Linked DNA regions of Arabidopsis thaliana. The main gene of each other region encodes a partner of the protein of the gene in region 2 in a complex. Each region holds a gene or a part of one and is shown on either strand. Other genes may lie near its edges. A codon is read from its position in the direction of its gene.

Region 1 (7,049 bases), on a different chromosome or scaffold from region 2:
GGATATAGAAATGTTGAAAAATATGGAAATAAATGAGGACAAAAGAGAAAGAATTGAAAGCCAAATTGATAGTTGGCAAGAGTAAAGAGAGCGAGTGAGACACGTTATTATATGCAGCCTTTGGTACTCCTCCAGAGCCCAACTTCCCTGGTTCTTACCCTCCCCTCTCTTTTTTTTTTGTCCTTTTTCCTCCAAATTTAATAATAATAATCATATTGTTGTAATAATCATATAGATACAAATTTTCTTAGAAATGTTCAAGAATCGACATGTATTTGGATTTTTTAACTTGTCTGTCAAATCTCTCTAAGAGATATAGATGCACTTGGTCTAAAGAAGATAAGCACACATACACACATGCATGTAAAGATATACGTACGATGAGATTTGCTATATCCAGTTTGCCAACAAAGAGAAGGAAGACTTATAAGAACTATTCCCTCAAATATAACTGGATATAACATAATAAGAGAGAAAAATAGAGGTGTGGTACCAATCACAATCTTGTTTTGAAGGGGTCCAAAACAGTCAGGTTGAACAAGAGCCGGTACAAATGACACATAGGCAGATCACATTGATGATTTTGATCATGAAACTATTATTATTTACTCTTATGGAATATTTGAAAAGATTGAAAGAAATCCTTGACTCATGTGGCTGTCTTTGATTCCATCACTTGGAAAGTTTCAGTCCATAGATTCTATGATTTTTATTTAAGATTCTATGATTATCAACTATAGTTTTAATCATCTGCATTGTAGACTATGTAGTCTCTAAACTTGCCCCTTATTGTGACAAGTCTACATTAGACGTGTATTTGTACAAGTCAAATCCAATTCATCATCCCACAGTCACTTATCAAATTTCAAATTAGAGCTTCTTAAAGTATTCTTCTTAGTATAAAAATTTTAGACAAGTCACACCAATCTTTTATCATATTAATTTTTACCCGTAAGAATAAGATCTATGTTTACAAATACGAATTTCTTACTAAACTACTTGTCGTGATGAATTTTGATAGAGATAATCATCAGAGAAAACAAAGAGAACTAAATAAATGCGTATAAGATATGAATAATATACAGAAGAGGAAAGAAATACCGAATACGTAATGGATATAAAACCAAAGTTTCAATTCCAAGACGGATACGAACAAGTTCGAGTTTCTCTCAATGTCCCACTCACATGCCCCATTAGGTTTAATTTGTCTTTCTGTTTTTTTCTTTTTTCTTTTTATTGTAGCCTTTGTTTGATTGAAGTCGTACGAGGCTCAAACTTGGTTCGACACATGGCGCTAACTGAATTGCGAGACGATTGTTTTCTAAAAGTTACAAAACACAACTCAAGATTTCCTGAACCAGAAGTCTTCTCTTATGGATCTCTCTCACTGGTCACTGTTAATTACAGAGACAACGCATATAATAAAAACAAAGTCTTCTTTTTATTCTTTTGTCTTCAAGTTCTAAGCAGGAAACAACAAACATTTTAAAGAACAAAGCAGTGAAGAAAACACGCTTCCTGTTTTGATGAGCAGATCACTTAGATGGGTCTCTATGGCTCTCCTCCAAGCTCAACTCTCAGGTTGTCATATGGATACACTCTCGGTGTCTGCAACAACACAGTAAGAGATTAACATGATATGGAAAACAAGTTCCACAATGACACAAAAGCAGAGAGATGATATGCCACAGAACAAATTCTAAAGTAAAAGAGAGCAGCAATTCAACTCATGTATAAACAAGAAGATATAGAGCAACTTCTCAGCCTTGGAGTGCTGTTCAACCTCTATAACCCTAAGTTCTTCAAAACAAGACACATCATAATAGCCTTTGATACAAAGTCTATGATTCTTGGCCAACGGACACTAAGAGAAGTAACATTTGGAGTAAAAAGAAGAACAGCAATTCAACTCATGTATAGACAAGAAGACATAGATCAACTTCTTAGCCCCGGTGTGGTGTTCAACTTCTATAACTCGAAGTCCTTTAAAGAAAACTCATTATAGTATAGCCTTTGTACAAAGTTTATGATTCTTGGCCAGTCGACACTAAGAGAACCAACTCATCGATTTTAGCTGCTCATGCACCTCAAAGAGCCTTCATGTCTTTCTTACACCTCTAAGAGATGCCACAGAACAACTTCTAGAGTAAATGAACAGCACCAATGTCTAGACAAAAAGCCAGAGCACCTTTTTTAGGCCTAAGTCTTTTACTCGGAATCCTTCAAAACAAGACTCATCACAGTATAACCTATTAACCTTTGATACAGAGTTTTTCATTCTTGGCCAGTGGACACTAAGAAAACTAAAACATAGATTATAGCTGCTGGTACATACACCTCTAGCATACGCTTAAGCATTTACCGAGTTCCCAAGAACACTGTGGGTGTTTCTTTCAAGTGTTCCTAACTACAACGTACATGCTCAAATTAATTAAGACAGGATTATGGAAGCAATGCGGACATAAGATTCATCTAGTCCAGTAACTTTGGTCAGATGCAAAAGCAAACAGCAAGAATTGTTCATGTTCATAAACAGACAAAATGCAGAACTGAAAGCTAAATATTGCGGCAATTCAGCAAATAAAGAAAAGAACATTGACACATTCTCTGTTACGCGAGCATATTTTGTAGATTCCTATGTTTTCTGTCCACATTTAGTTAATGAGTTTCTGAAGATTCCAGCAAAAACCTATTCTCAGAAATAAGCCAATGCCAAACATATGTATCAAATTCAGAGTTGAACAACATACATAATAACAGCTGCATAGGGATGATAGATCTTAGCATAATCATGACTTCGATCATCACACTCAGGACAACAAAATGGGCTTGATTATAATTTCGAAAGTTGAAAGCTTTGAACTTACAAATGGAACCTTAGAAGCTTTGTCGTTCAAAACAGCGAGCAGACCGAGACCAACAAAGAACCCTAATCCGCCACTCAACCATGCCAATGCTTCATACTGTTCACATTAATCCAAAATCAATCAGAAAAGCAATCTCTTTTTACACCGAGAATCACCAGCAATTAGAAATCGTGTAACCAAACCTTTCCGACGGTATCAGCAATCCGATCTATGCAAGGCTCTGGAAACGCAGTCCCGTTGTCCCACATCAGCTCGTCGTTTACCGATAGCTGACCCGCACAATTTGTAAACATCAGATTTTCAGAAGAATCTAACAAGAAATTTACAACAGAAATTTGACTCACCGGCTTATCGGGGACGATGTGTTTGCCGACGGGGAGACCCATTCCGGCGCGTTGACGGAGAGAAGAACCGACGGATCGGGCAACGACGCCGTTTCCACCCATGATTCGTGACGCAACACCGCTCAATCTTCCAGCCATTTTCGCTCTTTTCAGGTTTCGATCCAAAATCCAATCAAATTACAGATAGAGAGAGAAGAAAGACGCAGTCACTGAAACGATTCCCTGAAACGCCATCGTTTTAAAAGAGGTCAATATTGTAATTTCGATTAACGAATTTTAAAACCAACGAAATGAGCAAACACATACACTTCAAGTGTGTCAAAAAGCTTCAGATTCTTACTATATACAAAGAGATTCATGTGGTGAATACACAAAGGTACAAAAACAGAAAAAGCTACAACCTTTAACATATCTATAAACTACTCAACAGTGAGGCGCAGTTCGTCCGAGTCGGGATAAACTGTCTTGTTGTTATTATCACATTCGCAAGAGTTAATCTTGTAGAATGCTCTCCATTCGTCGATGTTCTTCATCTGATCACATCTCAATTTAGGTAACCTTCTTCTCTCTAAGATCTCTAGAATCTTCTCTGTTCTTCCCAGATGCAGAGCTGCTCCTCTTACTGATTCTTCCCTTACTTCTACAGCTGACACCAAACACTTGACGGATATCACTTGTGCTACGTTGCAAAAGCAACCTGACACTATGTCTGATATTGTGCTTTCCAGCTTTCTCAACAGAGCTTCCCCTGTTCCATAGTCTCTTGATTCGTAAGTTAGTAGAATTGTTTGACAGATTCGGTACATGGAGTTGGCTGCTAGAGTCTTGATGGGCCAGTGAGAGGGCTTGTGCTTCATGCATACCATCAGGTTCATCTGCCATGACTCTGAGAACTCTTTCTTCGCGATTTCCATCAGCTCCCGAAGGGTTTCTTCTGGATTTCTTTGTTGCTTTGATAGTTTCCGAAGATCCACATCAAACCACTTGTGATAGAGATCAACACCTAGCCAAACGACCTCAGCAGCTTTCCTGAGGTTAACTGACTCTCCTCCGGTATCCAGGACGCATTCAAACTTGTTGACATATTCCAGTGCCTCGTTGACAGCATTGAGTAACTTCTTCAGGGAGGAGGGCTTGATGTCGGGAAGTGCAACAGCAATACTTGTGAGTGTTACAAGCGGGAGAGCCCAACAATTGGGCGGTTCTCCGTGGGCCAGAGAAGCCACCTTGTTGCTGTCGAACTCTGCAATCCCTTCAAATCCTTTTGAAATGGGTGTTGTTGCTTCCAAAAGCTCTATCAGATTCACTGGTTGTTTCTTTCTGCCCTTCTCTATCCAATGATCTGTCGCTTCCCGGTTGCTCCGCACCATCACATCCACCAGCGGGTCCTCTCCTTCAAGGTGCAGGACAAAACTCGCTAGGTCCTGTCTCGAGCTTGGATTTGAATCGGATTTTTCTGACTCACTGTGTGTGATAGTATTACTGGTCCTTAAGGCGAAATGACAGCACAACAAGATCTTACCCACACAGGATACCGAGATGTAACGGATAATTTTGCTACCAAACACAATCACATACTGTATCACAATACATACATCCAATATCCAGCGTTTTGCATTGTGTGCAGTCTTCCTGTATCTGCGTTCTTTGAGGATCCAAAGGCTTAAGGGATGTTGCTTCTTCTCTGAGAACCAATGTGTCCAGTAACTCTCTATTCTAAACTCATCTCTATAATACTTCTTTCCTCTAATCGGACACCTGAAGTTCACAGCCGTGAACCATCTGATCGCAGGAGCAATGGTCCCTATAGCTACAGTAGTAGTCTGGCAAACAAGAACCAGAGAAGTTGACCATTTGTAATCAGAATCTCCATGGCAGAACCCAAGTGACCTTGGTCTTAAAAAGTAACTCCTAACCATAGCTTCACCAAGCGTAATGGCACTCAGGAGACAGAAGAAACCAGAAGCAGTGCACGTGACAGAACGAGCCATCACGAATTGAGGGCTACTAGTATGAGCCATCATCCAAAACTTTGACAAATCTTGCTGAATTTTCTTAGCAACTGTTCTCTCTGTAGCCAAAGGACACTTCATAGCAACGTCGTACCTCTTATTGTACTTACTCTCCAAGATTCTTTTCGTAGTGGGAACTGTGGTGGCCGAGAAACACAAGATCATAAGCATAAGAAGCATGAGAAGTACGACCAGAAAATGTTCCTCAGAGAAAACATAAATCGCACCAGTACCCAACTGAATACAGATGTTAACAACATCAGTGATGACAAGAATCCCTAAAGCCATAAGATTCATGAGGAGATCATTGTTGTCCATAATACCCAGAGAAGGCATCGAATTACCCATCACAGTACATACAAAGACGGTGCTGCTGAGTTTAGCTAACTGATCCTGACGACTCGGCATGGAAGTGTTGAGATCCACAGAGAGTTTGATTCCGACAGCGATGAAAGTCAGAGAAGTGGCGTTGAGAGAGAAGAACTTACAGGGAAACCAGAATTTGCGGTGTCGGAAGCCGTGTATAAGATCGGCGGCCATGGCTAGACCACAGATGAGTGAAGCTACGGCAACGTAGATACCAATCGAAGGTAAGGGTTTGCTGAACTCTGCATCGTTCAAATCGCCATGGGCGTCGCAGCCGAGGATACCCATCAATCGAATTCAAGGATTTGATCGAAAAAGCTCTTCTTCAAGTTGACTCCATGGAAATGAGTGATCTTGTTGACATCATTCTAGAGACTGGAAAAGTAGCAAACTTTGACTTCTCTGACCGATTTTGAGCACAAATTCCAACCTTTCTACTACACTCTTCTATGACCATTTCAACTAAATTTCGGATAGACACTGTTGAATCGCAGATCAACCGGGAAAAACTCACGGGAAGAAAGTGTTTCTGCCTGCTTTCGTGGAGTTTGGAAAAGGCCTGGAGTGATCCACCTATCATGGGCCTAATAATCGGCCCAATTAGTTTTGTTACTGGATGTGTTAATAATGATGAAGAGTAGAAACTTTGACTTGTCTGATAAAATGATCACACTCCTTTCATGACCATTTCGATTCAATTGAGGAATTAGGCACTGTTGAGTGACAGATCAAATGTCCTAGGATCTATAAACAATTGACATTCCATGGAATCAGCTTTAGGGGGTTTTGAGCAATCATCATCACCAATCAGGTTATTCGAGGGATCCAGTTTGTTTGTTTTTGAATTCAGCTTAGGGGAACAAAAGAGTTAAGATTGTGAAAACAAATGACATGAATCACTTGATTCGATAGCAAACACAAAAGCAGGACTAATCTCTCTCACACACACAATGTCTCAACTTAAACAGAGAAAACTAGTCAATGTCCCAAAATGAAAATATAGTAGAGTACTAGCTAAAAGAGAGGTAGAGAGATCATTCATTCAATAGGGTTTCTTTTGTTGTTGATGGTGGTCATGTCGTCAGGAGGTATGACAGCAATCCTGAGAACACCAAATTCTGCATCCCAAGCGATGGTGTTGTTCGAAATTAAAGCGGGAAAAGGACTTTGGACGCTTCCGAGGTAGGTTCGACCGCTCTCATCGTGTTCATACACGTCCTTGATCTCAGCTTTGAATCTGATTTCCTTTTCATCAGCATACACTTCCACATCATCCGGACTAACACCTGGCATGTCCACTGCAAAGTGAGCCCCTCCTCCCGCTTTTGTCACCCCAATTAGTGCTCCCTTGCGACCAGACACCAGACACGGATGATCCTCCAAGCGTATTCCGGATTGACCTTAATAAAGAACAGAGAGTACTGTATTAACAACAAATGATGCAGCAAAAGAGATTGTGA
Region 2 (6,738 bases):
CAGTCACCAGCTTGTCAAAGACACACGAGTTGCTTATATTACCTATATATTGACTAGAAGAATAATACAAAAAGCTACCTAGGTTATGATCATTGATCAAAATAATCAAGTAAACACATTCCAAAAGGTTTTATCAGTGAAACAATTTTACTATATTCACTAATAAAGCCTTTTATTATCCTACTGATGATCATTGATCGATAAACACAATTGCATGGATGGATAAAATGTCTAACCGAGAGTTCAAGTCTCAAAAATCAAAATGGTTAGTACTAATACATGTATGAGAGAAAGTGGAAGCAAATGAAAATAATACATTAAATGAGTCTGGCAGAGACAAATAGCTCCAAGAGAAATTGAATGAGTAATTGACTGTGGAGGTCCATGATTCATGGCTTTTACCACAATCAAAACATTCAATAATTCTCTTTGCTTGTTTTTTTATTAATATTATAAAACTTTGTACATACATGTAAGATAATGTAACCCAACTGGATTTTGGACTATAAAAAACATAACATTCTTTTTTGTGTGTGGAAAATTTGGATGTGCAAATCTCACCGAACCATTCGACGATTATCAATGTTAATTTATTATTCTATTGGGTCAATTTTCTCATCACCCATTGATTGAATTCAATCATAGCACATGCAAGAACAAGGCAAATTCTAAGATGGTTAAAGTAATATAAAAGGTGTAATCCATGAAACACCTAGAGAGAACAGAGAAGAATTAGCCTTTTCACACCTAAAATAACATTAAACAAAAGTGAAAGAGAGTTGTTTAAAAGTTTGATTTGGGAATGGTTGGGCCACCAAAAAAATTACACAACTAATATATAAATTACAAGACAGAGAATATAATATACAACAATGTACACATGGATAGATATAGACATTGCATGGTTATGTGAAAAGGTTTAGAGTAGTGTGAGTGCATAATTATTGGAAGTAGGACCAAACAACTCTTGACTTTTCATCCTTAAGGATTGGAATTAGATTTGATATGTTTTCTTAGCATAACCTCTTTTATTCCTTTTTTTTTTCTTTTTCTTTCAAAAGCGTAACTTTTGCAATTTTTTTTTTTTTTTTTCATATGAAATTTTATTGATAAACTTGTTGTGCAACCAAGGTAGAATACAACCCCCAAAAAAGGAAAACTAAAACCGGCGAACGACATAAATGTTTCCGGAGTCAAAGCCGAAGGAAAACGTAATTAATGAAAACACAAAACAGAGATTTGTAAACCTAAATCGAAAGAGGTCGAACCCAACAACTAAAAGCAGAAACAAAGGCACAAACCCTTTTAAACTACTAATCTCTAGAATCAACAAGTCCTCTTTTCTGAAGCAACTACGGATGAGATTTACCAAAAATGCTCGCGGCCAACCTAAAGATAACATCAACCACCTCCTATCAATATGACTCTCAATATGAGAGCCAATCTATCGTAACTTCTACGATTCTTGTTCCATGTTTTTATGCCTTCCACATATCAAGGAATATATAACTACAAAGTGGTATACTTTTTTTCGTATCTATAATCCTCTTTTGATTCTATCATAAATGACAACTCATTTTCTGTCGGATTCCTCTAATCACCATTACCGTTTAGACTTCTAGTATTTCACTAATTTCGTTAGATGGTTCTTCCAGTGAAGTGATTTGGTTCTATAAGCAATGTGTCAGTGATCTCATATATATTTTTTATTTCTCACAGATTAAAGATAGAAAACCAACAAAAAGATGAGTTTTGCATCTTATTTTTTGGGAAACCACTCCAAGTTAAAAAGAGTTCAAAAAAAAAAAAAAGATAGAGAATCTTGAACATTCACATCTGAAAATGTAGCAACAATTTTTCATCACTAGCAAGAAGAAAAAGATTGAAAAGCAGAGTCCCCACCATCTTCACAGTTCCAGAGAATCCCTGTCCAAATATTTTCAGAGTGTGAATTAGGACTCAGAAGAATGAATAAACAATCAAATCAGGAGAAAACAAAATCATTGTCATGTTGAAGAATCTTAGACCAAGTATTTAGGGGTCTATCTTTATAACAGAGAAAACACCCATTGGTGTCAAATCATAATGGCATATACAATGAACAAGTAGTGAAACACATAAGAACGATATGAAAAAGGAAAGAATCACACAAGCATGCAAGAGTACTCAATGGCAAGTGAGAACAAGAAGATGAGAGACATTAAGAGATTTGTTCTGTAGCTGTTGTGACATAAAATACCAAAACAACAAAGCAGAAAACGTTTAGACACAGGTATGTAGTTGGTGCTGTAATTATACAATTCTTCTCACGGATTTATAAGTAACACAAAGTGACTGTACCAATTCTTAGCCATGAATATCTGAGACACAATTTACAAGTTCACAAAAGATATATATCAATCATAAGAATTTCAAAGCCTAGAAGTGTGAGATCATAAATCAAACATAAAAGATATAGTCTAACGAATAGACTTGGGTCTAGTTAATCAGTGAAACTCTCTTGTATCCTTTTTAAGGGTCTGTAACACAAAGCGACTGTAACAATTGCTAGTCATGATATCAGATTACAAGATCTTAAAACAGAGAACGGGCAAAAGAAGTTGTAAACACAAAAGATATAGTCTAACGACTTGAATTGTGTCCTGTTAAGCAGTGAAACACTCTTATATCCTCTACGGGTCTGTAACACAAAGTCACTGTAACAATTGCTAGTCATGATATCTGAGACACTATTTACAAGTTCATCGAACATATAACTTGCAAACATAAAAGATATAGTCTAACGAATTGAATTGTGTCCTGTTAATCAGTAAAACACACTTAAATCCTTATATAGTCTAAAGGTTCCAGCAAATTAGTGCTACTGATTACTTAAAGACTTATCTATTAAGCTTTGAAAAGGAAACATCATGAAAAAACAAAATCTGTAGAAAATCCAGTCAATGATGGAATTTTCCTTATCCAAACTTCAGATATCATTGAGATACTTTACAACAAGAAGTACAAAGTCCAGACATTTCTCTAACATGATTGATACAGAACAATTGTGATTGCAGTCTAAGAGAAATTGAATCCAATTGTAGTCAAATGTTCACAACAGAGGCAACAAAATTGCTAAGACGAGAGAATTCACAATTCAAAACCAAGATAATGCATTAGACATCTAATTGAACAAGCAATCTCATTTATTCCCAATGAAACCCTAATTTGGAATTTGAAGAACACGAAGATCTGATCATGTAGCAGAAGAAACAAACCAATTCAATCAAATCAACCAAAACACAAGAAATCGAAAAACTATAGACTAACCGGAATCTGGAATCGGCAAATTGGAGAAGGAATCGAATCCTAAGCATTAGCAGTTTTAGGGATAAGAGGAACAGCAGCGTTTCCTTGTAGTTTATTCTGTTTAGCCAAAGCTTCTTCTTCACGGATCTTCTTCATCGCAAGCATTCTCTCCATAACAAGCTCGTATTCACACTTCTCATAAACGTGACGCTCGTCTTCACATTTCCATGGAAGGTAAAACTCAGCCTGACGACATTTGTTGAGCGGAATCAAGAGATGAGCGCACATATCTCTAGATCCAAGTGCTATTTTAGCTGCAGACATCTCTTCTTGCGTTGCGATCATCTTCTTCGATGAACCTGGAACCTCCATTTTCGCGATCCCCAAACCTCACAACGATACTCTCTTCTTCTTCTTCGATTTTATTGACCCGGAACATTCTTCTTCTCCGGGTCATATTTGTGCCCGTTTGATATGGGCCAAAAGCCCATTTGATTTACTAAGCCTATGGACAATTTCTCTCAATTTAGTATTCGAACCCTGAATTGTTTATAATATTGCAAATGCGACTTAAACTTTTGAAATTGAAAGGAAAAGTACACAGCAATGTTGTTATTGATACAGAGACAGTTACAGTTGAAAGAAACAAACTTTTGTATGTAATGAAAGTAGATAGATAACAGCATTACTACGACGAAGCTTTCTTTTGCTTATACCTAGCAGCAGAGAAGAAGTAAACCGCCATGTTCACAAGGCTAAGACCAGCCAAGAGCCAGAAGAAGTAATCGAGATGACCTGAATTGAGATTATCCGAAATCCAACCTTCTTGCCCATTTCTTGTTGTAAAATAAGTCACGAGCGTGAGGATCAACGAGCTCAAGTAGTTACCAAGTGCATTGGTCAAAAGAGCCAAGGCACTGCACAAGCTTCTCATTGCATCTGGAGATTGGTCGTAGAAGAACTCGAGCTGACCGATGAAGTAGAATACTTCGGCTGCACCGAGAATGAAGTACTGTGGAATCTGCCACAAGACGGATATGGGAACTGGGGCTCCTGACTCGACTAATCCAAGATCGTTGGCCATATGGAGACGGATGATTTCGACGATAGCTGCAGCTGCCATACAGAGAACAGAGACAAACAGACCAATTCCCATTCTTTGTATCTCAGTGAATCCTTTGTCTACTCCTGTGAACTTTCTTGCTAAGGGAACGATGAACCGGTCGTAGAGCGGCACCCAGATGATGACGCTTGCTGTGTCGAATGTCCCGAGTGCTGCAGGAGGAAGCTGGAATGATCCAATTTTGCAGTTCATGGCTCGGCCTTGTTGAACAAACATTGTGGACATTTGTGCGTATACAGCTGAGAAAATGATACCAGAAGCCCAGATTGGGAACATTCGGATCAGAATCTTGAGTTCTTCGACTTGCGTAACCGTGCATAGTCTCCACGAGTTGGAATAATCTCCGGATTTCGATTCTTCTTCTGAGATAACAGCGGCTTTGTCAAGATACCTGCATCATACCAGAATAACTTGTTAAACCAAGTAAAGCTATACATTACTGGAAAGCAATGAAGCGGATATTTACTGGCAATCATCGGTATGCTCGATTTTTCTACTTCCAGCAATAGCAGAGTTCTTGTCTTGAGTTTCATACAGAAGTGTGGCGTCTTCAGGGACTTTGACAGACGATTTCCGGAACGAAGCAACCACGACTTGGGAAATCCGAGTTATAGGGCTTCCTCCAGGTTTCTGAAACCTATAAAGAGGTGTGCCAAAGAAGAAACTTGCAATGGCTAGTCCCATGAACACTGTTGGTATCCCAAACCCTAAACCCCACCCGCGATTCTCTTGAATCCAAACTAGAAGACTAGATGACACAAGTGCTCCAATATTGATGGAGAAGTAAAACCAGTTAAAGAACGAAGCTTTTCTAACTCGTTCCCGAGAGTCCGTGTCATCAAACTGATCGGCACCGAAGGATGAGACACACGGTTTGATACCTCCAGTTCCAAGAGCGATCAGGTAAAGCCCACCAAAGAACATCGCATACTGAGCTGGCGTTGCAGATGGACAAAAGTCACCAATACATTCCGCTGGCTTCAATGCCGGAACTGAAGCTGAAAGAGTTAACGCAGACATCCCCTAAACAAATACAAAAACCTATCAGTAATCAGGAGCAAACAAACCAAACCAAACATTACACAGAGAAGCAATGCTTACGATGAAATAAATCCCGGAGAAACAAGCGATGGTCCAGTAACGTCCCCAGTAAGCATCAGCCAGAACAGCTCCAATGAGAGGAGTGAGATAACAAGTCCCTTGCCATGTGGTAACGTTTGTAGCAGCAGAAACATTTCCTTGGTGAAGCTTAGTGGTGAGGTAAGTGATTAAATTCCCAGCAATACCATAGTAAGCTAGCCTCTCACAACATTCATTACCAAGAATAAAAGGACAAGCTTTCCAGTTTCCTGTTTTCTCCTTCAATGGTGGGTTTCCATTAAAGTCCACTGAACCATCTTCAGCATACAATTTCACTTCCTACTTAAAACAAATTCACAAAACATTTTTGATTAGCTAACTAAACTATAACTGTATCAAAGCTCGAAACTTTGATCTATATCTACTTGCAAAATTCAAACATTGGAATCATCAATTAGATAAAACAGTGATTGCCCAGAAAAGATCTCAATAAACCCAGAAAGAAAATGCATAAGATCAATCTAAAGTCAAGATTTTGGAATTGAGTAAAATCAAAATTCGCTAACCTAAGTGATTAATTGAAATTGAACAAACCTGTAAAATTAAACCTTCTTCGATGAGAGGTCTTGCTTCTTCTTCGATGGAACCCATCGTTTTCGTTTTTTGAGCTGAACCAATTTAGATTCCTTACGTTGAAGCTACCTATCTAACGATACTCTATTATTTATCGGAGACGTGACGGCTTTTTATTTTACTTTTCCCGGCGACTTATTGGAAAATAAAAATCAAAACTTTGATTATAATAAGAGAAGTAATTAACAAAACTCATCTTTTTACGAATTTTTTGTTATTATTATGACGTAAAGATAGAATTGTGGATCAACCTGTTACCTGTCCATGTCTCAAGTTGTTGATATCACTCTAATCAAGAATTTTTTTTTTACATATATGTGTTTCTAAAACAATACATCATCAATACGTTGTTGATATCAGTAAATCGTTTGGGGACTCAGATAACAAACAGTAATTATCAGCCAATCTCTCTATAAACCCTGAAAGAACAAGAATGCTCAATAATATGTAGCTCAAGTCAGCAAAATTAGGAGAAATGGAAATTAAAACTCGATAACCTAGATCATTAATTGTACGTTGAAACTATATAAACTCTCCTATTATTTTTTGGTAAATGTGACAAATTTTTTATATTCCTTTTCCCGGCGAAATTTGTTTTTATTGGACTATAGACA

What was found. Proteins that work in one complex are often made in the same cells at the same time.
Region 1: the proteins of AT2G02050 (region 2) and AT5G47570 are in contact, whole or in part, in a cryo-EM structure (PDB 8BEH), measured with the Arabidopsis thaliana proteins. Residues at the interface, in NP_565280.1 of Arabidopsis thaliana: Met10 (codon at 3,633), Ala12 (codon at 3,627), Thr13 (codon at 3,624), Gln14 (codon at 3,621), Met17 (codon at 3,612), Leu24 (codon at 3,591), Gly25 (codon at 3,588), Arg27 (codon at 3,582), Asp28 (codon at 3,579), Met29 (codon at 3,576), Arg69 (codon at 3,456), Met70 (codon at 3,453), Ala72 (codon at 3,447), Met73 (codon at 3,444), Ile76 (codon at 3,435), Arg77 (codon at 3,432); in NP_568684.1 of Arabidopsis thaliana: Ser103 (codon at 2,882), Lys104 (codon at 2,879), Val105 (codon at 2,876), Pro106 (codon at 2,873), Phe107 (codon at 2,870), Thr108 (codon at 1,608), Pro109 (codon at 1,605), Arg110 (codon at 1,602), Tyr112 (codon at 1,596), Pro113 (codon at 1,593), Tyr114 (codon at 1,590), Leu117 (codon at 1,581), Glu120 (codon at 1,572), Leu121 (codon at 1,569).

Annotation. Positions count from the first base shown.
Region 1 is NC_003076.8:19,291,318-19,298,366, forward strand, and holds AT5G47570 (NADH dehydrogenase ubiquinone 1 beta subcomplex subunit), read right to left. Parts: upstream 3,484-7,049; 5' UTR 3,350-3,483; coding exon 3,212-3,349; intron 3,137-3,211; coding exon 3,050-3,136; intron 2,964-3,049; coding exon 2,868-2,963; intron 1,609-2,867; coding exon 1,552-1,608; 3' UTR 1,270-1,551; downstream 1-1,269. Other genes in the region: ASG7 (uncharacterized protein), read right to left, coding at 3,631-5,877; AT5G47590 (Heat shock protein HSP20/alpha crystallin family), read right to left, coding at 6,628-6,989. UniProt on the Arabidopsis thaliana protein: Accessory subunit of the mitochondrial membrane respiratory chain NADH dehydrogenase (Complex I), that is believed not to be involved in catalysis. Complex I functions in the transfer of electrons from NADH to the respiratory chain.
Region 2 is NC_003071.7:486,946-493,683, reverse strand, and holds AT2G02050 (NADH-ubiquinone oxidoreductase B18 subunit), read right to left. Parts: upstream 3,733-6,738; 5' UTR 3,661-3,732; coding exon 3,349-3,660; 3' UTR 3,310-3,348; intron 1,927-3,309; 3' UTR 1,626-1,926; downstream 1-1,625. Other genes in the region: PTR2 (peptide transporter 2), read right to left, coding at 3,977-4,802, 4,878-5,434, 5,513-5,830, 6,086-6,142. UniProt on the Arabidopsis thaliana protein: Accessory subunit of the mitochondrial membrane respiratory chain NADH dehydrogenase (Complex I), that is believed not to be involved in catalysis. Complex I functions in the transfer of electrons from NADH to the respiratory chain.